Anolis sagrei: one gene and its partners. The protein of the gene in region 3 interacts with the protein of the main gene of each other region in a pairwise test. Links are inferred from orthologs where the notes say so. Each region holds a gene or a part of one and is shown on either strand. Other genes may lie near its edges.

Region 1 (7,457 bases), on a different chromosome or scaffold from region 3:
ATATCATTCCAATGTAGATATGAGAAGATGGGTGAAACTCTAGTGATAGGCACTTAGTATGCGATTGATCTAGGTTACAGATAATTTCAAGTTTGACAAGTATGGGGTGTGTGTGGAAGACACTGGGTTGTTTTCCCCAATTACAACTTGCTGTGGCTGTTTATCTAGGGTGCTGCTCCAACAAATTACAATCAAAGATGATACCACACAGAATTAAGTAGGAACAAGCTTGCCTAAACCTATCCTTACTGGTGTCTTTTTCACAACTGAGATTTCCTTCAAATGCCTTTTTTCTTTACAGGGATGTCTCACAACAAATAGCCACCGATGAAGGAAACCTGAATCAGAACTCTAAAAATGCATCTGCTTTCCCTAGGAGTATACTTATATAAGGCATAATTAGTTTCAAAGAGCTTCCTGCAAAGTCATGCTTTTGCAAAACCATATTAAGAAGCATTCAGAGTCAAAGGTATAAAACCCCGGAGGCTTTCGCTCTTATAGACTGAATCCTCCACCTATGCCAAGAGCCAAATCAACACACTTGATCCCCCAAAATATGTGCAAAGTCAAATATGTGTGGAGGGGGTGGAACTTGCTAGGAGCTTTCTGTGTAAGACCCCAGAGAAAAGTGTTGGTATGACTAGGAACAAGAGAATCTAGGGCACAGCTGACCTACTTTTTATCCATACTCAGATCCTGCCACATCCCTTTAAAAGGATCAAAGACTCCCCCTCCCCCATGCTCATGTTGTAACAGGACAGAATAAATCATTATTTTCAAAAAGGTTCTGTGAAAAATCAAACCTTTCTGTATCCTCGACAGGTGTGAAAGTTGTTTTTCTCTCCCACATCTAAACATTTTTTCCATTCCCTGGTTTAATCTAAGACTGGAAATAGAAGGGACTCTAACGTCACTTTGAAAAGCCTCTGTACAATTTCAGGCTCAGCTGGAGAGAGCAATCCCTTGAAAACATGGGAACCAGGCTCTTAGCTTGAAATTGTTCCAGTCAGAATAAATTTACACCTAAAAACGAAGTTGCTGCAGAGATCCAGTTAAGATAACTCGGTAGCTTAGAAGGAAGGCAACCAGCTTTGGCATAAACTGAATCTATCCAACACCCTTACAATGAAAAATGGCCTACAAATCTACTAACTGAGATAATGATAAGAGAAAGGGAAGATTCTTACCCCTTCTATAGGGATCCTGGGATTGGAAGTCAGCCCATATTGGTGGAGTTGCAAAGCTCTTGGCTCTCCCCGGACTCTCCTGAGGGAAGAGGGAGAGGAGAGAGTCCCATATCTTTGAAGTGAGCCATACTTCATGACATTTGATCCAAGTCTGATTTCATCCAATAAGCGGATCAAAAACAAGTTGGCAGGAAGCTCTTCGATTCTGCAGAGGACAGGGGCTCGGCATTCTGGGCATCTCAACTCCTTGTGTAATTTCAGGATTCTCTGGAGGCAAGGCTTGCAGAAAGTGTGTTGGCAGGGGAGCACCTTGGCTGAAATATCCAGCTTCCCCAAGCACAACGGGCACTCCAACATGTCAAATAAAGCTAAATCGCCCATATTAGGGCAGTTGTTACACTATTATTTTAATGTTAAATGGAGAGCTGGAAAAATCCACATAATGTTTATTGGAGTAAAGGACAGTTGCTCAGGAATATTTCACCATGAACCTTGTGGATTCATGTAATTTTTGAATCTGAAAATCAACATCCTGTGTGAAGAAAAAGAAGAGAGAGGGGGAAATTGCAGAACCTGACAACTTCAGTGTTATGAAATGTATGCCACCTACATTTTGTAGCAATGTTTCATGATCCAATTTGCACCATGTATTCCCTGACAACCCCACACAACCAAATTTAGCAGAAAAATAATAATTTGCAAATAAATGCCAGTGAGCAGAATTGTTGCCTAATGAGTGTCAGGAAAGACCCATGTTTCATTGACTAAAGATTAAAAACAAGAGAAATTAATTTTTTCCATGATGTGATTCTCCCAGAGCAATACAATCTTCCATGGGTGTACTGATGAAGGATCATTCTACCTTAAAACAATGCACCCCCCAAAATAAACATCCAGTGAAAACAGTAAAATGTGCACACCAGATAAAGAAAGAAGGTGTTCCACTGACACACATGGCTTAACACACTCTACCCTTTTTATTCTCCTTTTCTAAATCAGGCATCGCTTACACATACTCTCTGAGAACCACCCACAATGTTTCGCATTATCTTAAAAAGCATTGCTGAATTTTCTATATTTTCTCATTTGCAAGTCACTTTGATGGCAAACATTGCTTTGGCGTACCTGGAAGTTCAGACAGCATTTCTTGATTTCAGGGACTGGCAGTATTGTAGCTTGCTTTGATCGTCCAAAAGAAGGGGGGAAAACCCTCCCACTGCCTAAAAGCAACTCAACCTGTTTAGCACCTTTCCGACAGTTTGCAAGCTAAAGTGAAACAGATACTTAATCCTGAATTCAAGTCATGGCCTGCGGAAAACCTGCACCATCCCATATTACACCAAGGTGCCTGTGTATTCAAAATCAGGAAAACATACTCAGATCAGTTCTGCCAAATGGTGCTCCTGTCCTTCTATATCCTAAACCTTGAAAAATCTTGCGTTATATAACACTTCAAATCATTAGCCGGCCACTGAACAAGTTACACACTACTGGGAAGAGTCATAAGCTATAAGTGCTAAAGCTTTTCGCAGAGTATGGCTTCCATTTGAAGGAGGAAACTGTGAAGAAAAGGAAGAAAGGAAGAAAGTCTACTAATTTTTGGCAGTACCACTGACCTTGTGTTCATGACCCCTTCAAAACGAGTTCAGCTCACGGAATAACTGCTCCTGGTGTTGCTTTCCCCTTTTCTCACTCTCCAAATTGCAGCCGCATTGAAAACTTTAACTAGGTGCATTACTCACTTAGCTCAACTTAACACATGCTGCCTTGTTAACTCATAGCTTGCCAGCCTGTGACTCCTACATATACTTCAGGCAAGTGAGAACAGGGAAACAGAATTATTAACTAAGAAAGAGGAAACCGTTGGTGCATTTTTCTCCTGGAGGAAAAAAAATGCTTGAGCTAATCTGGCTTTGTACCAGTGCAACTTTGATCAATAAATTGGCTCAGCCTTTTTTTTATGAAGCCAATCTGTTTTAGGAACCAAGGAGGAGGTGTGTAGAAGGGTGAGAAAACAAAACCATGGAGAGTCTGCACACAAAGGCAAAGAAAAACATGAAGTACACAAGGAATGCAGTTGTGGGGGGTTAAGATTGTAGTCCAGTACTGGTTTCCCTGGGAGTGAGCCCCACTGAAATTCAAAGGGACTTACTTCTGAGTAGATATATACAGATCTGTACTGTACCAAGGCAGAGCAAAACATGAGATGTAATTGACTTTTTGTGGGATGGCTGTGTTTATATAGGATTAAGTCACAGTGTTTAAAAAGTTTCTTTGCAACATTTTCACTGCAGAATACAAAACATGAGAAATCTAAAATAAGAGCCTAAATTGGCAAGCATAGTACTGGTAAAAGAGCCAGCATATTATACCTCGGTGATACTTGTGGGCTTCTCTAATAATCTAGAATTCCAGTAGGATGGTATAGGAGTTTTTTTAATGCTCCCCTAAGGGACAGTTTTTATTGTTGTGGACAACTACTTTAGGAAAGCATTGCCTTCAACTGAAATCTTGATGAAGTGGACTTCTCCTGCCCTGTCCACTCAGCCTATATGTATAGGTGTATGTTGACAAGATTATTGGAGAGGTGAGAGTGACCACGTGCATCCTGGACCCGTCTATCCTAGCTGATAAAGGAAGCCTGGGGGTGGGGGTTGGCAGAGTGGGTAAAGGTGGTGGTTAATGCCTCCCTTTGGGAAGGCAAAATTCCAGTGAACTTAAAAGAAGCTGTGATAAAACCTCTGTTGAAAAAACCTTCACTGGATTCCACTGCTTTGAACAACTTTTGACCAGTCTCCAACCTCCCCTTTTTGGGCAAAGTCTTGGAACGTGTGGTTGCCTTGCAGCTCTAGGGGTTCTTGGACGAAACTGACTATCTGGATCCGTCGCAGACCGGGTCATGGAATTGAGACAGCCATGGTCGCCTTAGTGGATGATCTCTGCAGAGCGCTTGACAGGGGAGTGTGTCCCTGTTGCTTCTCTTGGACCTCTCAGCGGCCTTCAATATCATAGACCATGGTATCCTTCTGGGTCACCTTGCAAGGATGGGCCTTGGGGGTAGTCCTCTGCAGTGGCTTCAGTCCTACCTGGAGGATCATATCCAGAAGGTGTTTTTGGGGGAAACCTGCTCGGCCCCGCAGCCATTGTCCTGTGGGGTTCCGCAGGGCTCAGTATTGTCTCCCATGTTGTTTAACATCTACATGAAGCCATTGGGTGAGATCATTTGGAGTTTTGGAATTCGACGCCAGCGGTATACTCCTTTCCACCGGTTTCTAAGGAGGCTGTCCAGGTTGTGAATCGGTGCCTGGCTGCAGTGACGGTCTGGATGAGGGTGAACAAATTGAAGTTGAATGAACACAAGATAGAGGTCCTCCTGGTCAGTTGCAAGGCTGAACAGGGTATATGTGCTGGATGGGGTAACACTCCCCTTGAAGACACAGGCTCACAGCTTGGAAGTCTTCCTGGAGGGCACATTGCTGAGCCTGGAATCTCAGGTTGCGGAGGTGGCTAGGGGAGCTTTTGCACAATTAAAACTTGTGCACCAGCTGCGCCTGTACCTTGGGAAATCAGATGTGGCCACGGAGGTCCATGCTCTCGTTACATCCAGGATAGACTACTACAATGCACTCTATGTGGGGTTGCCTTTGAAGATTATTCGGAAGCTTCAAATAGTCCAATGGGAGGCAGCCAGGTTAATAACTGGGGCAGTATACAGGGAGCATACAACTCCCATGTTATGTCAGCTCCACTGGCTGCCTGTTTACTACTGGGCGCAATTCAAAGTATTGGCTTTGGCCTATAAAGCCTTAAACGTCCCTGGCCCAGTTTACCTGTCCAAACACATCCCCCTTTATGAACTACCACAAAGACAAAGTCTTCTGGGGAGTCCCTGCTTTCGGTCCTGCCACCGTCACAGGTGCCTTTGGTGGGGATGAGAGGCAGGGCCTTCTCAGTGATTGCCCCCGGCTATGGAACTCCCTTCCTGGCAATATTAGATAAGCCCCCTCCCTCCTGTCCTTTACAAGGATGGTGACCAAGCCTTTGGGCAGTTCAATGAGGCAATAATAGAATCGTGTCCTGAGATGGTTTTAAACAGTTGATTTTAAAGTCGATATAACTGATGTTAATGTTTATGTATATTAATAGTTTATGTCCCAGCATTAAATTTTTCTGTATATTGTGCTCCACCCTGAGTCTGCTGTGGGATGAGAAGGGTCTAATATAAACATTTTAAATTAATTAATGTTATAATGTTATAACTTCTGTCCCTAGGGTCCTCTGGAGCCACATGAACCAATAAAAGTGCCCTCACTCAGAAATCTGAATGTGGCTGGAGCTCCTTCTGGTTTAGATATAAATATACATATTAAAGTTAAATAGTTTAACAGGGAAGGGTGGAGTATAAGCTATTTAAAAAGTAAATTGCTAATCCTGGAAACCTCTAGGAAAAGCAATATTCCCTTTTTAATGACAAGTAAAAGGACAGTTGAGAAGTCTGGATGGGCTGAAGGTTGGAAAGGATACATTTAGCCCTAGAGCCCATTGTGTCCACACAAAATGTACACATATATGATATATGCACACATGTGCTCACAATAATGATTGTAATATAATCAGTTGGCGTTGCATTGAGGAGCTTCTCTTGGGTAAGGAAAAGTTGGATACAAAGTAACTGGGAGCCTGTGGGCGGAGGCAGGCTCCCAGTAGGGTGGATGCAGCATGACATGAAGTAAGAAGGAAAGGAACTTGTAATTCTTGTAATAAATGGTCCTATTCTTTTCTCTACCTCATTTGCAGAAGTGACAGCTACCTTCAGCTGAGAAGAACCACAAGAGGCTTACAGTGTTTGGCATTTCTGCAATTATAAATGTATTTTATCTCAGTCCACCTTTTTTATATATTCACTCATCACTGGAAATTCTGACAAACTGTCAACATACATTACAGGGTTTTATGGCTGTACGTTTATTAATTTGTCATTCATTTGTTTTACAATTACTTCCTTGTAAACTGTTATGCAGCATCAAGAGGCCTGACCAAATGGCATACAGGCAGTTCCCAAGTTACAAACAACATAGGTTCTGTAGGTTTGTTACTAATTTGAATTTGTATGTATGTCAGAGCAGATACATTTTTCAGTGTAACTCCAGACATATATGTGGTGTTTGTTTTGTTGCCTGTGCCCAAATTTCACGAAACTTTCTGTCTCTGCAATAATCAGATTTTGAAACATTTGGCTTGTTGTGGAAACAAGGATAGGAGAGAAACCTTCAGCTGAGACACCTTTTCTCCATGAGAATACTTTCAGGAGTGAATTTCTCTTCCTGGGGTAGATTTCTTTCACTTCCTATTTAGTGGAGTATCTAAGTGGAGTATCTTGCATTTGTCACTGTTGAACTTCATTTTGTTAGTTTTGGCCCATCTCTCTAATCTGTCAAGATTGTTTTGAATCCTGCTCCTGTCCTCTGGAGTATTGGCTATCCCTCCCAATTTGGTGTCGTCTGCAAGCTTGATGATCCTGCCTTCTAACCCTTCATCTAAGTCGTATTGAAACATTTGGAAGACCCTTTTTTGTGAGCTGTTCAACAAAGGAAATGATTTCATCATAGGTCAACAGACCCTCCTTCTTTGGATTTCTTTAAACAGAAGTTGATGGGTATCTTTCAAGAGTGCTTTGGTGGTGTATTGCTGTATGGCAGGAGGGTGGGCTAGAGCTGGCATGGGGAAACTTCAGCTCTCCAGGTGTTTTGGACTTCAACTCCATAAGTCCTAATAGCTGGTAGGTCCTTCCAACTCTATTATCCTGTGGGTCTATCATTTTAATGCTGTCCCTTGTTTGTATACTACACATCTACATCCTCATTTTGCCTTCTTATTTTTTATTTATAATCATTCTTTAAAATCTAGTAAGAATATGACTTAAAGCCCCTAACATAGAAATAAAGAAGAAGGCCAGAAGCAACTCCTCCACTTAGCACCCCTCCCACCATCACCACTAGATACACATTGAACTCAAGGGGCTATACAATTGTATCACTATTATCCCATTTCAACTGCCATGGTAAAATCCTGTGCAATTCTAGGATTGACAGATTAGGGAGGAATATTTTCAGTATTCAGACAGAGAACTGCTCTAGTGCCAAACTACAAACACCAGGATGCAGACAAGTCAGTTAAAGTGGAACCATAATACTATAATTGAGCATTGTGAGAACCCCCATTGGAGGGGGGGGGGCTATATTTATTACTAGCTGTCCCCTGCCACGCATT
Region 2 (7,090 bases), on a different chromosome or scaffold from region 3:
GACATGCAAGTGTGGAGGAGAGCAAACCACAGACCACTTATTACAATGCAGCCTGAGCCCTGCCACATGCACAAGGGAGGACCTTCTCACAACGACATCAGAGGCACTCCAAGTGGCCAGATTCTGGTCAATAGAAATGTAGTATCATGCCAAGTTTTTAAACTGGTTTTTCTCTACATTATAACTGTATTTTCATTTCACTTCTGACACAATAAATAAAATAAATACTAACTGCAGAATCCACCACTTGGAAGGATGATAACAGATATATTGTTGAAGGCTTTCGTGGCTGGAATCACTGGAGTGTTGTGTATTTTCCGGGCTGTACGGGTATGTTCCAGAAGCATTCTCTCCTGACGTTTTGCCTGCATCTATGGCAGGCATCCTCAGAGGTTGTGAGAATGCCCGCTATAGATGCTGGGTTTTTGTTTTTGGGGTTTTTTTGTCGTGTCAGGAGCGACTTGAGAAACTGCAAGTTGCTTCTGGTGTGAGAGAATTGGCAGTCTGCCAGGATGTTGCCCAGGGGATGCCTGGATGATTTGATGTTTTTATCATCCTTGTGGGAATCATAGAATCAAAGAATCAAAGAGTTGGAAGAGACCTCATGGGCCATCCAGTCCAACCCCCTGCCAAGAAGCAGGAATATTGCATTCAAATCACCCCTGACAGATGGCCATCCAGCCTCTGCTTAAAAGCCTCCAAAGAAGGAGCCTCCACCACACTCCGGGGCAGAGAGTTCCACTGCTGAACGGCTCTCACAGTCAGGAAGTTCTTCCTCATGTTCAGATGGAATCTCCTCTCTTGTAGTTTGAAGCCATTGTTCCGCGTCCTAGTCTCCAAGGAAGCAGAAAACAAGCTTGCTCCCTCCTCCCTGTGGCTTCCTCTCACATATTTATACATGGCTATCATATCCCCTCTCAGCCTTCTCTTCTTCAGGCTAAACATGCCCAGCTCGTTAAGCCGCTCCTCATAGGGCTTGTTCTCCAGACCTTTTATCATTTTAGTCGCTCTCCTCTGGACACATTCCAGCTTGTCAATATCTCTCTTGAATTGTGGTGCCCAGAACTGGACACAATATTCCAGATGTGGTCTAACCAAAACAGAATAGAGGGGTAGCATTACTTCCCTAGATCTAGACACTATGCTTCTCTCATGTCCCCGCATGAGGAGCTGGAGCTGATAGAGGGAGCTCATCCACCTCTCCCCGGATTCAAACCTGCGACCTGTCGGTCTTCAGTCCTGTCGGCCCACGGGTTTAACCCACTGCGCCACCGGGGGCTCCATAGATGCCAGTGAAACATCAGGAGAGAATATTTCTGGAACATGGCTGTACAGCCAGGAAAATACACAACACCCCAGTGATAAGAGATAACTGGAGATGATGAAGCAACAGAAAAACTCACCCAGATTATAAATTCACCAGACTTCCTGGACTATTAAATTCTTTCAGGGGAGGTAAATGCTACAAGCATTGAAAAAGACTAATCTAGAATTTACCTTTGTTTCCATCTTTTCTCCATCTGCCTATCCATTCTATCCTCTCACTCTACCCATCCATTCATACAGAGCTTGAGTCAGGCGAATGCTCAGATAGGAACAACTTTCTGCCTCTCCAACATAGAGCTTGAGTGCATCTACACTGCATCCACACTGCAGAATGAATGCAGTGCATCTACATTACAGAATGAATGCAGTTGTACACTACTTGCTACAGGATTGTGAGATATGTAGCTTGGTAGGACACCAGCTTTCTTTGATAGAGAAGGGTAAAGAGCTTGTAAAACTGCAGCACCCATGATTCCATATCATAGAACAAAGGCAGTTCAAGTGGTGTCAAAACTGCATTCATTCTATAGTGTATATGCACCTTCAATTTCCCCAAATTCACCCCATTAGTAAGGACATGCTGGTGGGGGAGGATTCTGGAACTTGCATTCTGAAAAGTCCCTTGTTCAACTGGAGCTGCGGTGGCACAATGGGTTAAACCCTTGTGCCGGCTGGACTGCTGACCCAAATAATAAATAATAATGAATCTTTATTTATATCCCACTTTTCTCCCTCACGGAACGCAAAGCAGCTTACAACATATTAAAATCACATAAACAACAATCAGAATGCATCAATAATAAATATAAGCACCATAAGATAAACAAATTTAAGAAAACAACTACAATGTACATTCACATCCATGAAGCATCATATCGAGAGATATATTGCACTTCGCTCCAGTCCATAAGGTTGGGTTGCTGACCTGAAGGTTGCCGTTTCAAATCCGCAAGACGGTGTGAGCTCCCGTCTGTCAGCTCTAGCTTGTGGGGACATGAGAGAAGCCTCCCAACAGGATGGTAACACATCCAGGCATCCCCTGGGCAACGTCTCTGTAGACAGCCAATTCTCTCACACCAGAAGCGACTTGCGGTATGTTCTCAAGTCACTTCTAACACAATTAAAAAAAATACTTGTCCAACTTTTGGTGACACATCAGACACATTGCTTGTCTCCACTTTAATCACCATGGCTTGATGTGATGGAATGATGAGATTTGTAGTTTTGTGAGGCACCAGCACTGTTTGCCAGAGGATGTTAAAAAACTACAGCTCCCTGGATTCCATTCCATTGCACCTTGGTACTCAAAAGTGGTGTCAAACTGCATTCATTCTACAGTGAAGATGCACCCTGACAGCGTTCTCCCCTTTTAATAAAAGGAAGATTGTAAAATCTTCCTTTTACAAATGTAGCAAACACTAGTATTTCATATGAAGCATTTCATGCCTTTTGCCTATAGATTCCAACTCACCGTGCTATCTTTAGCCAGACCAGCTCTCTACAGAAAGTTCTCTTCTTACTTGGAAAAGTTGGGTGCTGATGGAGAGAAGAGCTGCCCTCCTCCGCCGCCTCTCTGTTTCGTTCCCTCTCTTTCTCTGTGCGTCTTTTTCTCTCTCCTGCCCTGGAGAGGAGGCGAGAGAACAGTGCTGGCCGTTGGATTTTCTGGCTCAGCACACTGCCGGGGTGTGAGCAAGCATATGTGCATCACTCGCTCACACTCACAGACACACACATACACACACACACAGACACTCCTTTGCTCCCTGTTCAATTTGGAAGCAGAGGCCTTCAGACACGCAAGAAACCCCATGAGATCATAATGGGAATCACTGATAAACATCTTGGCACACACCGCAAAGGCGATGCATGCACAACTTTTGTGTTCCAACACACTTGTTCCTGTAATTTCCATCACACTTCCCCCCTTTCTGTTTACCGTATTGCTTTCTCTTTATCGCTGCCTCTGTCTTGTTTTTCCTTCCTTCCTTAGGAGGAAAAACAATCTTCGTTAATATATTTGATTGCTATCCTAAGAACCCTATTTTGTTTACTTTCCCCTCTTTTGTCCCACACTATAGGAGCATCTACACTATAGAATGAATCACAAAATCATAGAATCCTACATTTGGAAGAGACCTCATGGGCCATCCAGTCCCAACCCCATTCTGCCAAGAAGTAGGAAAATCGCCTTCAAAGCACCCCCAACAGATGGTCATCCAGCTTCTGTTTAAAAGGCTCCACCTCGAGAAGGCGGATCTGGCCAAGGTGGTCCAAGCCTTAGTCACCTCTAGACTGGATTACTGCAATGCACTCTACATGGGGCTGCCCTTGAAAATGGCCCAGAAATTTCAGATGATCCAACGGGCGGCAGCCAGGTTGTTAACCGGGGCTCTTTATAGAGGGAGGTCATCCCTCCTGTTTAAGGAGCTCCATTGGCTGCCTTTCATCTACCGGACCCAATTCAAGGTGCAGGTTCTTACCTACAAAGCCCTGAACGGTTTGGGACCCGCCTACCTGCTTGACCATATCTCTGTATACGAACCCACACAATCTCTTCGATCATCCAGGGAGGCCCTGGTCTCGATCCCACCAGCATCGCAGGCGTGATTGGTGGGGACGAGAGAGAGGGCCTTTTCGATGGTGGCCCCTCGACTCTGGAACTCACTCCCTAAAGACATCAGACAGGCTCCAACTTTGGCAGTCTTCAGGAGGAACTTCAAGACGTGGCTGTTCCAGTGTGCCTTCCCAGAATAATGATCCCATAGCACTTTGTCCTCCAAAGCACTTTACATTTTCTAAGTCTGCTCGTATGCCCTTTCACAAACACCAGTATCACCTTCTGTTCATGTCCCAGCATATTTCCAATTTTAACTTTACATTTGGCCTCCCCTCTGTTTTTAATTGTGTGTATTTTATAGATAATGTTGTTTATCTTATTCTCTATGTTTTTAAATTGCTTTATTGTTGTTTTATTGCTTGTATTGTTGTGTTTGGGCTCGGTCTCATGTAAGCCGCACCTAGTCCCTTGGGGAGATGGTAGCGAGGTACAAATAAAGTTAATAATAATAATAATAATAATAATAATAAAGAAGGAGAGTTCCACTGCTGAACAGCAATCACAGTTAGAAAGTTCTTCCTCATGTTCAGGTGGAATCTCCTTTCCTGTCGTTTGAAGCCACTGTTCCATTGTGTTCTAGTCTCCAGGGCAGCAGAAAACAAGCTTGCTCCCTCCTCCCTATGACTTCTGCTGACATATTTATACATGGCTATCGTGTCTTCTCTCTTCTCTTCCGCAGGCTAAACATGTCCAGCTCTTTAAGCCGCTCCTCAGTTTGTCACTACTTTAGCTGCCATGGTTCAGTGCTATGGAATCATTGGAGATGGTATTTGTTGAGGTATCACCACCTTGGGTGATAACCGCATTGAGTCGCCGAATTAGGCTGAAAAATGCGGTATAGAAATAAAGCAAATAAATAAATTGGGGCAAAAATGGTGAAAGACCTTTTTAAAACTACAGGTGCCAGGATCCCAAAGCATTGAGCCATGGCAGTTAAATTGGTGCCAAACTTCACGTGTAAATGTGTTTACATGCAAACATATTCCCTCCTGAACGGAGTTCCAATTTTCTTGGGTGTGTGTGTGTGTATGACTTCATGTTCATGCCAAACCCATCAAATCCACTGGCATTTTTAGGCAAGAAACACCCAGAGGTTGTTTGTTTATTTATTTTATTTATTTACTGTATTTATATTCCGCCTGTCCTGGAGGTATTTGGGGGCACTCATTCTGAATATTGCATTAGATGGTCCACATTAGCTCTAGTTTCTTAGATGTGGCAATCCTTGATTTTCTATGGGTAAGCACTGGTGACTGGTAGATGGCATATGTTCCAAATCTCAAAAACTAGAACTGAGAGGTGAAATTTGGTGCAATTTTTGGAATGGTCAAATATACCCAAAAAGATATCTAATATCTGAGGCATAAAAATAGGGCTGGGCTTTAGCACAGCAGATTAACCACCAACTGAAAGGTTGACACTTCGAAGACTGGGTCAGGGTGAGCTCCTGGCCTTTAGCCCACTTTCTGCCTACCTAGCACTTTCAAAAACAGCAATGTGACTAGATCAGGGGTCCTCAAACTTATTGAACAGAGGGCCAGGTGACAGTCCCTCAAACTGTTGGAGGGCCGGATTATAATTTGAAAAAAAACATGAATGAATTCCTATGCACACTGCACATATATTATCTGTAGTGCAAAAAACACTTTAAAACAATACAATAATTAAAATTAAGAACAATTTTAACAAATATAAACTTAGTATTTCAATGGGAAGTGTGGGCCTGCTTTTGCTTGATGAGATAGGATTGTTGTAGTTGTTGTGTGCTTTCAAGTCGTTTCAGACTTAGGTTGATCCTGAGCGAGGGCCAGGTAAATGACCTTGGAGGATCGTATTCGGCCCCCGGGCCTTAGTTTGAGGACCCCTGGAGTAGATAAATAGATACCGCTTAAGCAGGGAGGTATTTAAGGCACCCATAACGAAATGCCAGAAAAAGGCTGGCAAGTCAACCAGGAAGGAAGTTTACGAACAAAGCTCTTTGGCAAGGAAAGTGGAGCAACAGCACCCCCGGTGGCAAGAACTGAGCAAGCCTTCAAGATGTCGAAGATGGGAAAGCCTATATAGTTACCTCCATCTATATACAGTTGTCTGACTTGTCTGTATAATAGCTATTGAATGTTTGCCATATATGTGTTCTGTAATTGGCTCTGGGTCCCCTTCAGGGTAAGAAGGGCGGAATATAAATACTGTAAATAACAATAAAATAGGTTGTTGTAGGTTTATGGCCATGTTCTAGAGGCATTCTCTCCTGACGTTTCACCTGCATCTATGGCAAGCATCCTCAGAGAGGTAGTGAGGTCTGTTGGAACTAGGAAAATTGGTTTATATATCTGTGGAATGACCAGGGTGGGACAAAGAACTCTCGTCTGTTGGAGCTAGGTATAAATGTTTCAACTGACCACCTTGATTAGCATTTGATGGCCTGGCTGTTGTTTGGTGTGGCTTGTTGGTGCCTGGGGCAATCTTTTGTTTCCTCTCTGTTGTTTTGCTGTTGTAATTTTAGAGTTTTTTAAATACTGGTAGCCAGATTTTGTTCATTTCCATGGTTTCCTCCTTTTTGTTGAAATTGTCCACATGCTTGTGGATTTCAATGGTTTCTCCGTGTAGTCTGACATGGTGGTTGTTAGAGTGGTCCAGCAATCCCCAGGCACCAACAAGCCACACCAAACAACTGCCAGGCCATCAAATGCTAATCAAGGTGGTCAGTTGAAACATTCACACCTAGCTCCAACAGACAAGAGTTCTTTGTCCCACCTGGTCACTCCACAGATATATTAACCCATTTTCCTAGTTCCGACAGACCTCACTACCTCTGAGGATGCTTGTCCTAGATGCAGGCGAAACGTCAGGAGAGAATGCCTCTCGAACATGGCCATATAGCCTGAAAAAAACCTTACAACAACCCAGTGATTCCGGCCATGAAAGCCTTCGACAAAAATAAAATATAAATATAAATATACATGTTGGTCAGTGTTATAAATAGGGCCTTATCTGTGGTGACACTGCCCTGTGGAACAGAGTATGAAAATTCAATCATAACCTTTCCCATTCTGACCACACTCTGAAATTGCTTCATCTGATTTTCATTTGTCAAATGCCAAAGGATGTGATTCCTATCATTCTCCTGATATGGGATATACCGTGCCT
Region 3 (7,199 bases):
AGGGAAGACAAAAGGGACAGAAGGAAGGAAGGAAGGAAAGAAGGAAGGAAGGAGAAAGAGAGGGAAGAGGGAAGGAAGGAAGAACGAAAGCGTGGAAGGGAAGGGAAGATGGAGGGAGAAAGTATTTATATACATTTTATATATATATAATAGCTTTTATATAATATATATAAATCACTATGTAACTGGAATTGCTTTATAAGATATTATGTGTGTGTAAAAAACACTATGTAACATAGGAATTGTTTTATAAGATATAAAACATATATCACTATGTAACACAGGAATTGTTTTATAACATATATATGTTATAGTGTTTTATATTATATATATATATAATATAGGTAAAGGTAAAGGTAGTCCCCTGACATTAAGTCCAATCATGTGTGGTGCTCATCTCCATTTCTAAACCGAAGAGCCAGCGCTGTCCGTAGACACCTCCAAGGTCATGTGGCCGGCATGACTGCATGAAGCACTGTTACCTTCCTGCCGGAGCGGTACCTATTGATCTACTCACATTTGCATGTTTTCGAACTGCTAGGTTGGCAGAAGCTAGGGCTGACAGCGGAAGCTCACGCCGCTCCCCAGAATCGAACCTGCGACCTTTCGATCAACAAGTTCAGCAGCTCAGTGCTTTAACCCACTGCGACACACGTTATAGTGTTTCATATTATATAAATATATATTATAGCATTATATATATGTGTGTGTGCTTGTTATTATTATTATTATTATTATTATTATAGTGATAGAATTGGATTTCATCCCAAACTGAAGCACTTTGACCCATCTGCTAAGCTGTTCCCAACTGCTCTTTGTGCAGGATTCTCACACAAATCACAACCTTAAAGACAAGGAGTCCAATCCTCCTTAACCTGAATTATCTTCTTCTCTATCCAGGATTCTCATGATTTTTCTTTGGATCACAACTTTTAACTCACAAATAAGACAAGATCTCGTTTTGCATGGGTTGTCATTTAACATTAAGACCCAGACATGTGATTTGAACAAAGTTTGGACAGGAAGTCTGAAATATTCTCGACCTTTATCCTCCAGATGTTTTTGGACTTCAATTGCAAGAAATGTTAACTATTGGTGATGTTGGTAGGCGCTTCTGGGAGCTGAAGTCCAAAATATATTGAGATATATTACCACCAACTGCCGCTCTGGGCCAGAGTGAAGAGAGGGAAGGCCAGGGGACAGTTCCATCTTGTCTCCTGTGTTATGCTAGTAATATAATATACTATATTGTATATACATATAATATTTACAATATTATAATGCAATACAATATAATACTACTAATAATATAATATAATTATATATTTTATATTACATGTAATATTACTAATAATATTACAATATAATGGTATAGTACAATATAGTAATATATAATACTGATATTGTACTATGCTAACAATATAATATATCAGTGGTTTTCAACCTTCTTAATGTCATGACCCCTTAATACAGTTTCTCATGTTGTGGTGACCCCCAAGCATAAAATTGTTATTGCTACTTCATATCTGCAACTTTGCTACTGCTATTATGTAAATATATGATATGCAGGATGTATTTTCATTCACTGGAGCAAATTTGAATACTGGTGGGGTTGGGGGGATTGATTTTGTCATTTGGGAGTTGTAGTTGCTAGGATTTATAGTTCACCTACAATCAAAGAGCTTTATGAACTCCACCAACAATGGAATTGAAACAAACTTGGCACATATAACTCCCATGACCAAGAGAAAATACTGGAAGGGTTTCGTGGGCATTGACCTTGAGTTTTGGAGGTGTAGTTCACCTACATCCAGAGTCCTCTGTGGACTCATAGAATCATAGAATCAAAGAGTTGGAAGAGATCTCATGGGCCATCCAGTCCAACCCCCCGCCAAGAAGCAGGAATATTGCATTCAAATTACCCCTGACAGATGGCCATCCAGCCTCTGTTTAAAAGCTTCCAAAGAAGGAGCCTCCACCACACTCCGGGGCAGAGAGTTCCACTGCTGAACGGCTCTCACAGTCAGGAAGTTCTTCCTCATGTTCAGATGGAATCTCCTCTCTTGTAGTTTGAAGCTCAAACATGGATTGATCTGGACAAAACATGAATACCGAATATGCCCAAATATGAACACTGGTGGAGTTTGGGGAAAATAGACGTTGACATTTGCGAGTTGTAGTTGCTGGGATTCATAGTTCACCTACAATCAGAGAATTATGAACCACACCAATGATAGAATTGGGTGAAACTTCCCACACAGAACCCCCATGACCAACAGAAAATGCTGATGGTCTTTGGCGACCCCTCTGAAACCCCCTTGCGACCCCCCCCCCCGCCAGGGGTCCCGACCCCCAGGTTGAGAACCACTGTAATATATTGTATGCATATATATAGCCGGTCTGATGTAGGAAAGATTGGGATATAAAAGTTTTAAATAAATAATATATCTTGTAAGCCGCTCTGAGTCCCCTTTGGGGTGTGAAGGATGGCATATAAATGTTGTAAATAAATAAATAAGTAAATAATAAATAGAAGGTAATTTTATACAATGCTTTGACTAATGTCGTCCGCCAGAAAGAATCTACACCGAAAAGTTAACCCAGTTTGAACTACAACTTGAATGGGAAAGGCTCGAGGCTTTCATTCCACTTTGTAGAAGTCCATCACCCCAACCCCAGCCCTAAGGGGGCGGGGCCATTGGAGCCAAGCCACGCCCCCTCATAAGCCCCGCCCACCCGCTCCCCCCCCCCTCTCTTTTCGGCCTAGTCTTTCTGAGGGAGAAAACCGGGCCTTTGCGGCGGTTCCGGCGCCGTGAGGAGAAACCCCGCCAGAGGAGGAGGCCCCGACCCGGCAGCTCCATCCTCAGCCGCCCGCCGCAGGAAGAAGCGAGGTTACCGTTTGCCTGGCCGAATTCTCGTGGTGTTTGGGAAATCGGGTGGCTCTGTGCGATAATGGCGTCCTTCCTCGCGAGAGATCCTCCAAGGAGAAAGCGACTGCGCAGGCGCACAGGCAAAGGGCGCGCGCGCTCGCTCTGCCTCCCTCCGCTGGGCTTCTCCTGGCGCAGGCGCAGTGGAAGCCTCCCACCACTCGCAGTCCCAGTGGTATGCCGGCCGCCGGACTACGGCTCCCAGAGAGCTTTGCGCGAAGGGTTGCTTCTTCGCGCCTTCTGGGGGTTGTAGGGCGAGAGAGGGAGGGCGCAGTGCGCGCTGGGAATTGAAGTCCTTAAACCCAAAGAGTGGCTCAGGCTTGCATCTTGACATTGCAACTGCAAGTGTTCCTCCAGATACAGCAAATACAGTACACACACACACATACACACACACACACATATATATATGTAAATATAATATTATACATACATATTATAATATATATACACAATGTATGTTATAATCTATATATATATATTATACATACATATTATAATATATAGAGAGAGTGTGTATATATTATACATACAAATTATAATATATATATAGAGAGAGTGTGTATTATACATACATATTATAATATATATATACATAATGTATGTTATAATCTATATATATATAATATTATAAATACATATTATAATATATAGAGAGAGTGTGTGTATATATTATACATACATATATATATACGTAATGTATGTTATAATCTATATATATACACACATACATACATATAATATATAGAGAGAGGGTGTGTATATATTTACATACATATATACATAATGTATGTTATAATTTATATATATAATATTATAAATACATATTATAATATATATAGAGTGTGTGTATATATATATATATTATATATATACACATAATGTATGTTATAATCTATATATATATACATATTATACATACATATAATATATAGAGAGAGTGTGTGTGTATATATATAATATTATAACATATATATACATAATGCCAGATGTTCAAGCTGGGTTTAGAAAAGGCAGAGGAACGAGAGACCAGATTGCCAATATCCGCTGGAGAATGGAGAAAGGCAAGGAGTTTCAGAAAAACATCTACTTCTGCTTCATTGACTACTCTAAAGCCTTTGACTGTGTGGATCATAATAAATTGTGGCAAGTTCTTAGTGGGATAGGCATACCAAGCCACCTTGTCTCTCTCCTGAGGAATCCGTACAAGGACCAAGTAGCAACAGTCAGAACTGACCACGGAACAACAGACTGGTTCAAGATTGGGAAAGGCGTACGGCAAGGCTGCATACTCTCACCCAACCTTTTTAACTTGTATGCAGAACACATCATGCGAGAATGTGCGGAGCTTGAGGAATCCAAAGCTGGGGTGAAAATTGCTGGAAGAAACATTAACAACCTCAGATATGCAGATGACACCACTCTGATGGCCGAAAGCGAGGAGGAGCTGAGGAGCCTTCTAATCAAGGTGAAAGAAAAAAGCGCAAAAGCCGGATTGCAGCTAAACGTCAAAAAAACCAAGATTATGGCAACAAGAATGATTGACAACTGGGAAATAGAGGGAGAAACCGTGGAGGCCGTGACAGACTTTGTATTTCTAGGTGCAAAGATTACTGCAGATGCAGACTGTGGCCAGGAAATCAGAAGACGCTTACTTCTTGGGAGGAGAGCAATGTCCAGTCTCGACAAAATAGTAAAGAGTAGAGACATCAGACTGGCAACAAAGATCCGCCTAGTCAAAGCCATGGTCTTCCCTGTAGTAACCTACGGATGTGAGAGCTGGACCTTAGGGAAGGCTGAGCGAAGGAAGATCGATGCTTTTGAGCTGTGGTGTTGGAGGAAAGTTCTGAGAGTGCCTTGGACTGCGAGAAGATCCAACCAGTCCATCCTCCAGGAAATAAAGCCTGACTGCTCACTGGAGGGAAAGATACTAGAGACAAAATTGAAATACTTTGGCCACATCATGAGGAGACAGGAAAGCCTAGAGAAGACAATTATGCTGGGGAAAGTGGAAGGCAAAAGGAAGAGGGGCCGACCAAGGGCAAGATGGATGGATGGCATCCTTGAAGTGACCGGACTGACCTTGAGGGAGCTGGGGGTGGTGACGGCCGACAGGGAGCTCTGGCGTGGGCTGGTCCATGAGGTCACGAAGAGTCGGAGACGACTGAACGAATGAACAACAACAACAACATGTTATAATCTATATTATATATAGATTATTTATATAAAATATAATATATATTATGTTATATAGGTATTATATTCAATAATATATTATACTATATATAAATTAAGTTATTTTAAAATTTATCATATATTATAATATAATGTATATTGTAATCTATATTATATATACAATATATAAAGTATAATATATGTTATGTTATAAAGGTATATATAAAGGTAAAGGTTGTCCCCTAACATTAAGTCCAGTCATGTCTGATTCTGGGGTGTGGTGCTCATCTCCATTACTAAACCGAAGATCTGTTGTCCATAGACACCTCCAAGGTCATGTGGCCAGCATGATTGCACGGAGCACCATTACCTTCCCGCCGGAGCAGTACCTATTGATCTACTCACATTTGCATGTTTTGAAAGTGCTAGGTTGGCAGAAGCAAGGGCTGACAGTGGAAGCTCACGCCGCTCCCCGGAATCAAACCTGCGACCTTTCGGTCAACAAGCTCAGCAGCTCAGTGCTTTAACCCACTGCACCACCGAGGGCCCATAGGTATATATATAAAATAATATATTATACTATATTTAAATTATTTTATTTAAAAATGTATCATATCATATAATATATATTATAATATATATAAATAATATGTTTTATATTATATTATATTATATTATATATATATATATATATAGACACACACACACGCACATGTTTGTTTGCATGCTGCAAGTCGCTTCTGGTTGCTTCTGGAGTGACAGAATCAGTTGTCTACGAAGATTTTGCCCAGGGGATGCCCAGATGTCTTGCAATCCTGCAAGGAGGCTTCTTTCATGTCCCCCTTAGAAAAATAGTTTTCTAAGATCTACATAGACACTCGCTGGAACACCCCAGCAAGCAAGAGTCCAAAAGTGGCAGGCTCAAACCCAGAACCTCAATTGTGAGGGCTCTCATTTGGCTGATACCAAATGAGAGACTCCCTCCTGGGCAGACAGAAAACTGGGCGACTTGGAAGGCGCTGAACAGACTGCGCTCTGGCACCACGAGATGCAAAGCCAACCTCAAGAAATGGGGCCACAAAGTGGAATCCACGACATGCGAGTGTGGAGAAGAGCAAACCACTGACTACCTGCTGCAATGCAACCTGAGCCCTGCCACATGCACAATGGAGGACCTCCTTGCGGCAACACCAGAGGCACTCCAAGCGGCCAGATACTGGTCAAAGGACATTTAATCAACTACCAAGCTTGCAAACTCTGTTTTGTCTGTTTGTTAAAAATTTGTTTAAAATGTAATACAATTGTCTGGTTGATACTGACACGATAAATAAATAAAATAAATAAATAACATGTTTGTTTCTTCTGTCAATGCTGTGTTATGATGGGATATTTTTTCTTGAATCAAAATAAAACGCACCATAGTAAACATCGTTTTTCTTCCTTGTTCATTTATATGCAGCCATCAAAGTTCATGGTACTTTATAAATCAAAAAACTAAATATACTTAGTATTTAGATAAGACCACTTTTAAAGAAGAACATCTGCACTGCCCTGGCTCGGTGATCTAGAATTCTGGGAGTTGTAGTTAGGTCAGGCACCAGCCAGCCCTCTTTGGCAGGGAAGACTGAAGACCTTGCCAAACTACAAATCTCAGGATCCCATAGCATTGAGCCCTCGTGGTTCAAGTGGATTCAAACTGCAGGACGGAACCGGAGTCCCATCCACACTGTCATATAATGCAATTTTAAATGGCAGTATATGACCAGTATAGGCACATATAATGCAATTCAAACTATATTGTATGGATTTGTGTTGATCATATCATGGCATTCCAAACTTCACTGTATGGATTGTCGAAGCCTTTCATGGCTGGAATCACTAGGTTCTTGTGGGTTTTTTTGGGCTAAGGGCCATGTTCTAGAGGCATTTCTCCTGACGTTTCGCCTGCATCTATGGCAAGCATCCTCACAACCTCTGAGGATGCTTGCCATAGATGCAGGCGAAACGTCAGGAGAAATGCCACTAAAACATGGCCCTATAGCCCGAAAAAACCCACAAGAACCTTCACTGTATGGCTTTACGTTGACCATATAATGC
Region 4 (7,005 bases), on a different chromosome or scaffold from region 3:
AGAGGCATGGAGCCCATCACATGATGTTGAACTACTTTCAGCTGCCATGTGTTCCATCCATCATTGAAATGAGCCTGAAGAAAGGAGCTCCCACCATGGCTGAGTAAAAGTCTTTTGAGCTGCTGTTGTGATTTGATCCACTTTTTAAGGCTAAAACACATGGAATAGAAACTATACTCCCCTGTCGTGTTTCATTGCTGCAAAATGAGAGACAGCTATTGCAGACAGAGAGCAATGGAGAGCAATGTTTGGCTGGGGAGGTGGTGGCAGAAGCAGCAGAGAAAAAAGAGAAAGAGAAAAAGAGAGATTTTTCGGCTGATAGAGAAGAGGGGGGAAACAGAGAGAATTTGACAAGCCTTCCCCAGTGTGATGAATGTGAAGGCAAGCTACAAGGGGTCAAGAACACTTCAAGAAAACAATGGGATGGGAAGGAGTAAAAGTTTCATGGAGTGATTTGCAATTGAAAGGCTTTATTGCAATCGCTATAGGGACAGACCTCCACTCTTCTCTACAAATATGTAAGTCCATAAGATGGAAGTCCAAAGTTGATAGGAACTCAGAGTTTGTTATCTGTTTGAGCAACCTCATAGGGAAGCTTTGTCATATTTTATTATTGGAAAAAGTAAGCTTATTACAAGCTGAACCACTGAATATGCTGGCTGGCGTATTTGGGAATTGTCGCTCAAAAAAAATTGAACACTTCTGACATTTGGAGGATGATGAGAAAAGCAACCAAAGTCTTACTCATTCTTGCTCTATGCATGCTAATTAAGGCCAAATAATAGCACATCCGAATAGAGCTTTTGTCTTAAAGGTTAAGGAGATCAGGGCTCCCTCTGACAGTCAGCATGCTCCCAATCTGATCGGATTGTCTTTAGCAAACTAAGGACATTATCTCAAGCACATCAGGTAACATCACACATGGAGACAGATGGAACTTCCAGATACATGTAGAGACAATTAAAAAAGAAACCAATATGTTGGCTTACCATTAAAATTGTGTAAGTATATGTGGAATGAGTTTGTACAATTCCCTCTTAAAAGAGGTGATTTTGCCAAGTGCTCAGTAGCTCAGTTATGGCTGGAACTCACATTCTGGGCCACAGAACCCAGAGAGCCTCCAAACAGTTTCCAACAGGAGCATAAAAGAGGTTCTCTGTCCACAGCAGAATGAGCCACTACTTACTAAGGCAAGCATGGGTTAGTGCACAACTCTCTTAAAAATAAACGGAGATCTCACACTATATTGTTATATTGTCTGCTTTAACTACCATGACAACTTTCTTTCCCATTCTGAGCTTTGTAGTTTTGTGAGGTTCAAGAAGTCTCTGTCTGAGAATTCTAAATGCCCTTTCCTAAATGCAAAATCTTGGGATTTAGCAAATTCTAGGATTTCATATAATGTTGTAATGGTTGTTGAAGGGAATTATAGCTCTATAACAATGCAGAGTGATAGCTCTCTGAGTGGGTGTACCATACAACAAAACACATCCCAAGACTTCAGATATGCCACCTTTCTTCAATTCCCAGACTTCCAGAACCTGCAAAAATACATTTTCCAAACTCTGGAACCTATCATTGTGAAGAAAAGGTTGGGACAAGTTATAGGACCCAACCCTTCCACACAGCCCTATATCCTAGAATATCAAGGCAGAAAATTCCACAACATCTGCTTTGAACTGGCTTATCTGAGTCCATAGTTGAACTGGCTTATCTGAGTGCATGTTCTGGGATATAGGGTATGTGGAAGGGCTCTTAGGTAGCAGCTTCAAGAAGAGGATTGTTCCCATCATGTTCCTTCACTGACCAGGCTACATTCTTTATCTTGAGCACAGAGATGTAGTGGTGAGAGAAGACAATGTCAGATTTCATCTTATCAATCTCATCTTTACCTCCCCTTTTGTCTAACAATTTTAGACCCCTCACCTCCTCCCCCCTCCCCCACCCTCAGGGAACAGTACTTATCATTATGCAGATATTAATTTAATTGAACAATCGTGAAAAGAGAATGGTCCAGCTCTTTATATCTTTTGTTTCATTTGACTTTTTCTATCACTTTTTCCCATTTCTGAACCCAGGTCTTCTTAAATCTGCTTATTGTATATTTGGTTCTTCTTTCATAGATGTAATCCTGAAGCATATAATCTGCTAAATATTCACACCATTTTTTAACTTTCTACTTTCTATGGTCTTTCCAACCCAAAGCCACAGTTGCTTGGGTGATCTTTCATTTCTAATCCTCTTGTGCTTCTTCAATTTTTTCCCCTTGATATACACACATACACAAAGCCAATAAGGAATAAAAGATTAAATAGCAGTACTGAGTGCGTATGGAGGCCTTGACCTCTTTAAACATTCCTATGAAGACCCTATTCAAGCATTCCTTTATTTGGCATTTATCAATATACCAGGAATATGCCTTTTGACTGATAGAGCTCAGACCATCACCTGGAAGGTACCCAAACACTCCTTTCTCCTCGGTATCTTCCCTTTGTATATGTGGTTTACTAAACACAGTTTTTTTGCCTTACTCATAAGCACACTATTATTCACAGGAAGACTTATCATGACTCGAAGAAATGCCATCTGAGCAAAGCTACAATAGAGCAACTCCCATTAATATAATGGTGAATAACAGGCAAGCTGGGAGAAGCAACAGCAATTTGACTTTGCCTGAGTCTAGTGGGAAGGGCAGGACTCTGGCCTCTTAACTGCAAGCAAATTTTGCATTTTGAATTTAAGGCACTTCCAGATAGCTTCAAAATGCAAGTTTAAAAACTGGGGAAAAAATCCTGGATCTGAGAGCAAGTTCACACACAGACCTGTCAGTCCCAGGATATGGTCCCTCACCATCCTTATGCCTTCCTTTGAAGCAAATCAAGATGGGGGAGGGAAGAGGAACATCCAGTAGAAGTTTTTGAAAAAAGAAATTCTCTCAGAAATGTGCTGGATCTCATATGCACACATGCAGAGATCTACTACACACAAGCAGATTTCTAATCTCTCTTTTCACCCAACTGTTAATTCAAGCTTTGTTTAATATTATAAGAAAGAAAGGCATGGTTGCAGAGAGTTCTAATTGCTTTCTGATTGTGCTTCCTGTTAGCTACCCATGTGTCCATGACTCAATTTTTGACAGTTTTGGGCTTTTAAAACACATGTGCTGGAGCAGTCCACACAGGGGATGGGAAGGAAGTCATGTGTTTTCCATGATTGCAGAGATATACTGTTACACATAGATTTGCATTTTTTGGGCAGAATCGGGTTTTAAGCTCACTTTTTAAACACGTGCTTTTCAGCTGTTAATCCGATTCTCTCTGCACTTTCTACAAACATCTTTTAGACATCCCACTCCCTTTTATCCCAGTTACTTCCAGGTTTTACTGCATGTGTAGAAGGCCCCTTAGTTTGCATCATTTGAAGAAGGACAAAAGGGAAAAGTGGGAGGAGAAGTCAGAAACTGGAACATTTTCAAAGCAACTGCGAAAGTGGGCTGACAGAGAATTAATCAAAACTGTCGCAGTCAAATCAGGAGTGTATATCATTGTTGGAATTGAAGTGTAGATCATTTTCTGAATGCAGGATGGTGGAAGGCAGGAAAAACAGAAACCAATTGGTGGTCAACATTTATAATAATTATTTCTGTGGGTAGTAGTATGCAGAATACCCCAGTTAGCATGGCTACTGGGCATTCTGGAGTTGCAGTCCTGAAAAAAATCAGTCTAAGCTTTGTATAGGACTCACTGGTTGTAAAAATGTTCTAGAGAGAAACATGCTTAGCCCTGTGGAAGATACGGAATGGCCTCACGAATAAAGGGAGCAAAGTTGTTCTTGCTCCCATCACAAATGCATGGCCCCATTAACAAATGATTCCTTAAAAGGCCGTCTCCTGCGGAGATGCTCTGGTTCTTATCGCTCAGGATGGCTGCTTCTTTGGAGATAACTGTATTTATAGCTCATCTGGCAAGGGAACTCTTGACAGTCTAATTGCTAAATACATAGTTTGGGTAATCCAATAAAGCAGTAAGCCTCCGTGCCGGCCTTTGTCTCGCCTCACTCCCTGACTGGAACACACAGACGCCATCCAGCAAGGTAAGCGCAAAAAGGATAGTGCTTTCATGTTCAGGAGCCATTCCTTTTGTCACCCTGCAGTGCTGTTTTGGGGAGAACCTGAAGAGTCCTAAAGGAATGTTGAGGATTTCCTTTCTTCTGTTATTTGCAAGGAACATCAGCATACACCACAGAGTTTAAAGAGAACCCACACCTCACACCAGGTAATCAAGAGCCGGTGTTCCCTTTCATCAGAGGTTATCTTTACATGCTTATATGTTGTTAAAATGTCAAGAGAGTTCAGTGTCTTACTATCTTTTCACTGGATAAGGGAAGAGAATATAGGGTGACATTGCTATTGTGTGCCTTGAAGACATTTGTGACTTATGGAAAGCCTAAGGCAAATCTATCAGGAGCTTTTCTTGGACTGTGTGACTCAGCCAAGGCTGCCCAGTGGGTTTCCAAGGCTGAGCAAAGAACCAAAGTGGTTTCTAGAGTCTCCTTCTTTGGTGGTCTTTAAGTAGAGACTAGATGGCCATCAAGGGTGATCTGATTGTGTTTTCCTGCAAGGCATGAGGTTGGACTGTATGGCCTTTGGGTCTCTTCCAGTTCAATGATTTAATGCTCAAACCACTACACTACAATAGTACAATCTTATTCCAGTCTACCACACAAAAAGTTCAATGGGACAGCAGGTAGATTTGCTATTCCAATTATTTAACATGATTTGTCTTGAAATGCATTGTCTTTTTCATTTATCACAAAGAGAGAGAGACTGCCTGTCATTTGGGGGTTCCTTAATATAACTGTATGATCTGACTTCTGTATGTAGATCTGGAAAAAATATTTTTAATTTTCAAAAGACACCCCTCCCAATTGCTTGTTTTAAAAACTGAGAATTATCTTATCGTCTTTGAGGCTACAATTTTGCATACTAAAGTGGAACACCTGCAAGTAAGAAATGTTCCCTGTTTAAATAAACTCTATATTTTTCTAGAAAAGTATGTGGGAATCTTTAACTTTGTGGAATTTCAGCAATCCTCCTGTGTGTGCTTGACAACTTGTGGAGTTTATCACATTTGTCATGGGTTTTTTTCTTCTTCTCTCAAAGTAAACAATTACAAAGGAGAAGTCTTTTGCGATATGTGGAGATGGAATTATATTGTTTTGGGGAAATGATTTCAGATATTTATATGTTCCTTTGGCAGCTGTGTATTTGGAAACGGGGTCATTAAAAGGTAGCAAAACTCTATATAGCCTTTTGTATTCTTTTCTTGTTGTTTTTCTGAGGCCTTAGATGATCCTGGCTATATATTTTGAAGTAGTGAAGACTATGCTAAAGGGAGACAGTGGGCTCAGTAATCTGTGTGAGACTACATAACCATCATGCGAAGTAGCAATTACAGCTGCCAAACACCCATTATAAAGCGTTCATCGCACCAAATTGCCTTTTAAAGTGATCTCAAGGGAGTGCTGTGTTTTGTTTGCAAAGCATGCATACACAAGGGAGTTAGAGGGATTGTATATGAATTTTTGTATATTGTGTAAATTAATATGGGCAATTGTTTTCGTTTACTGTTTAGTTTCTATTACACCCCAAAGGCTGAAGATCAGTGAATGGGAAAATATGTTATTTTAGTTTGAGGAGCCAACATGCAACCTAACCATTTCCAAACCTATGTCCAGTATAGTGGTTCAAAATAGAAGTATCATATGTACTCATATGTAAGTCTATTTCATGTATAAATCGAGGGAAGGTTTTGGGTTACGGTTATAAATGAGTATATACAATAAGTTAAATAGTTTAGAAGTAAATCTTTGGGACAATTGATGTTAACAGATTTGCCCCAAGGAACTCGGAAATTATTGTTTCCATTCAATGTTTGATGTTTTGTCTTATGTCTGCTATAACAGGCTGTGCTTTTCATTTAATTTTAGTTGTTAAGTCATAATTTGTGTTTATATGCTGGGTTGGTTAAATTTTGTTAGTGTGGATGTATTGTTGTATTCGGGCATTGAATGTTTGCCTTTTATGCTTGGAATCCACCCTGAGTCCCTCCGGGAAGATAGAGTGGAATATAAATTATTATTATTATTATTATTATTATTATTATTATTATTATTATTATGTGTCCCTGATGAATGTCACTTTCTTTTGATCTTTGTCTGATCCATGACCCAAATGCCATTACATTAATTGGACATGCGGATGGAAAACTATCTGGACAGGAATGACAGCCCTATTCTCTCTCTCCCTCTCTCTCTTTCACACACACACACACACAGAGAGAGAGAGAGAGAGAGAGAGAACCAATATTCTAGTTGCAAAGCAGTTGTTGTTGTTATATCTTAATCTGGGAGTTGGCAACTGTAGAAGGCTATGTGGAAATATTAGCTCCCAGGAAACTTTGGAGCCACATTTTCCTCCCTGAACCCCTTGCAGAAATCATATTTCTTGCCCCATCTGTCAAAACACACTCTAGGAACAAAAAAAAACCTAGTGAAAACGCCCACTCTTGTAGAGGGCATTTGAAGGCATTTCGACTCCCAAAACTAAATTTTTATACCCATGATGCTAGGAGGTCCACAAAATTGCTTGGAGTTTCTTATACCCTTTGCAGACCTTCTGCTTTTTTCTTACATCCTTATTAGAACTTCTGATTTTGTACAGGGCAAATAATTATTAGCGGAATGTTTCTTTTTAAAAGTCTGCCTCTATATTGACCTGCTGTACTATCAATCTCCTCCATAGTCCAGGAGTACTGCTTTGCCTGACAGTGATGATTAGCTAAGTGAAACCTGGCTGAGCCAGTTTCATGGTTCATAAGTTTTAGAAATTGAGTATGAATGAAGAGTGTGGTTTCCCCTTTATAATACAAATATGATAACTGGAATTTATTTATAGGCTGCCTCTTCTGTTATCACACCCAGAATGGCAGGGACCGGGCAGGTGCA

Evidence for each region.
Region 1: the proteins of BANP (region 3) and SH3RF2 interact in binary tests that used the Homo sapiens proteins (3 or more experiments, as listed by UniProt). The two-hybrid records come from large-scale screens. The link is inferred for Anolis sagrei from reciprocal best matches to the Homo sapiens genes BANP and SH3RF2.
Region 2: the proteins of BANP (region 3) and TNXB interact in binary tests that used the Homo sapiens proteins (3 or more experiments, as listed by UniProt). The two-hybrid records come from large-scale screens. The link is inferred for Anolis sagrei from reciprocal best matches to the Homo sapiens genes BANP and TNXB.
Region 4: the proteins of BANP (region 3) and FHL2 interact in binary tests that used the Homo sapiens proteins (3 or more experiments, as listed by UniProt). The two-hybrid records come from large-scale screens. The link is inferred for Anolis sagrei from reciprocal best matches to the Homo sapiens genes BANP and FHL2.

What each region holds. Positions count from the first base shown.
Region 1 is NC_090022.1:97,525,395-97,532,851, reverse strand, and holds the start of SH3RF2 (E3 ubiquitin-protein ligase SH3RF2), read right to left. Parts: upstream 3,027-7,457; 5' UTR 2,804-3,026; intron 2,420-2,803; exon of another isoform or gene 2,313-2,419; intron 1,720-2,312; 5' UTR 1,569-1,719; coding exon 1,188-1,568; intron 1-1,187. UniProt on the Homo sapiens protein: Has E3 ubiquitin-protein ligase activity. Acts as an anti-apoptotic regulator of the JNK pathway by ubiquitinating and promoting the degradation of SH3RF1, a scaffold protein that is required for pro-apoptotic JNK activation.
Region 2 is NC_090022.1:15,434,127-15,441,216, reverse strand, and holds the start of TNXB (tenascin-X), read right to left. Parts: upstream 3,008-7,090; 5' UTR 2,798-3,007; intron 1-2,797. UniProt on the Homo sapiens protein: Appears to mediate interactions between cells and the extracellular matrix. Substrate-adhesion molecule that appears to inhibit cell migration. Accelerates collagen fibril formation. May play a role in supporting the growth of epithelial tumors.
Region 3 is NC_090028.1:25,809,859-25,817,057, reverse strand, and holds the start of BANP (protein BANP), read right to left. Parts: upstream 3,016-7,199; 5' UTR 2,897-3,015; intron 1-2,896. UniProt on the Homo sapiens protein: Controls V(D)J recombination during T-cell development by repressing T-cell receptor (TCR) beta enhancer function. Binds to scaffold/matrix attachment region beta (S/MARbeta), an ATC-rich DNA sequence located upstream of the TCR beta enhancer.
Region 4 is NC_090023.1:105,899,810-105,906,814, reverse strand, and holds the start of FHL2 (four and a half LIM domains protein 2), read left to right. Parts: upstream 1-3,987; 5' UTR 3,988-4,092; intron 4,093-4,100; exon of another isoform or gene 4,101-4,274; intron 4,275-7,005. UniProt on the Homo sapiens protein: May function as a molecular transmitter linking various signaling pathways to transcriptional regulation. Negatively regulates the transcriptional repressor E4F1 and may function in cell growth.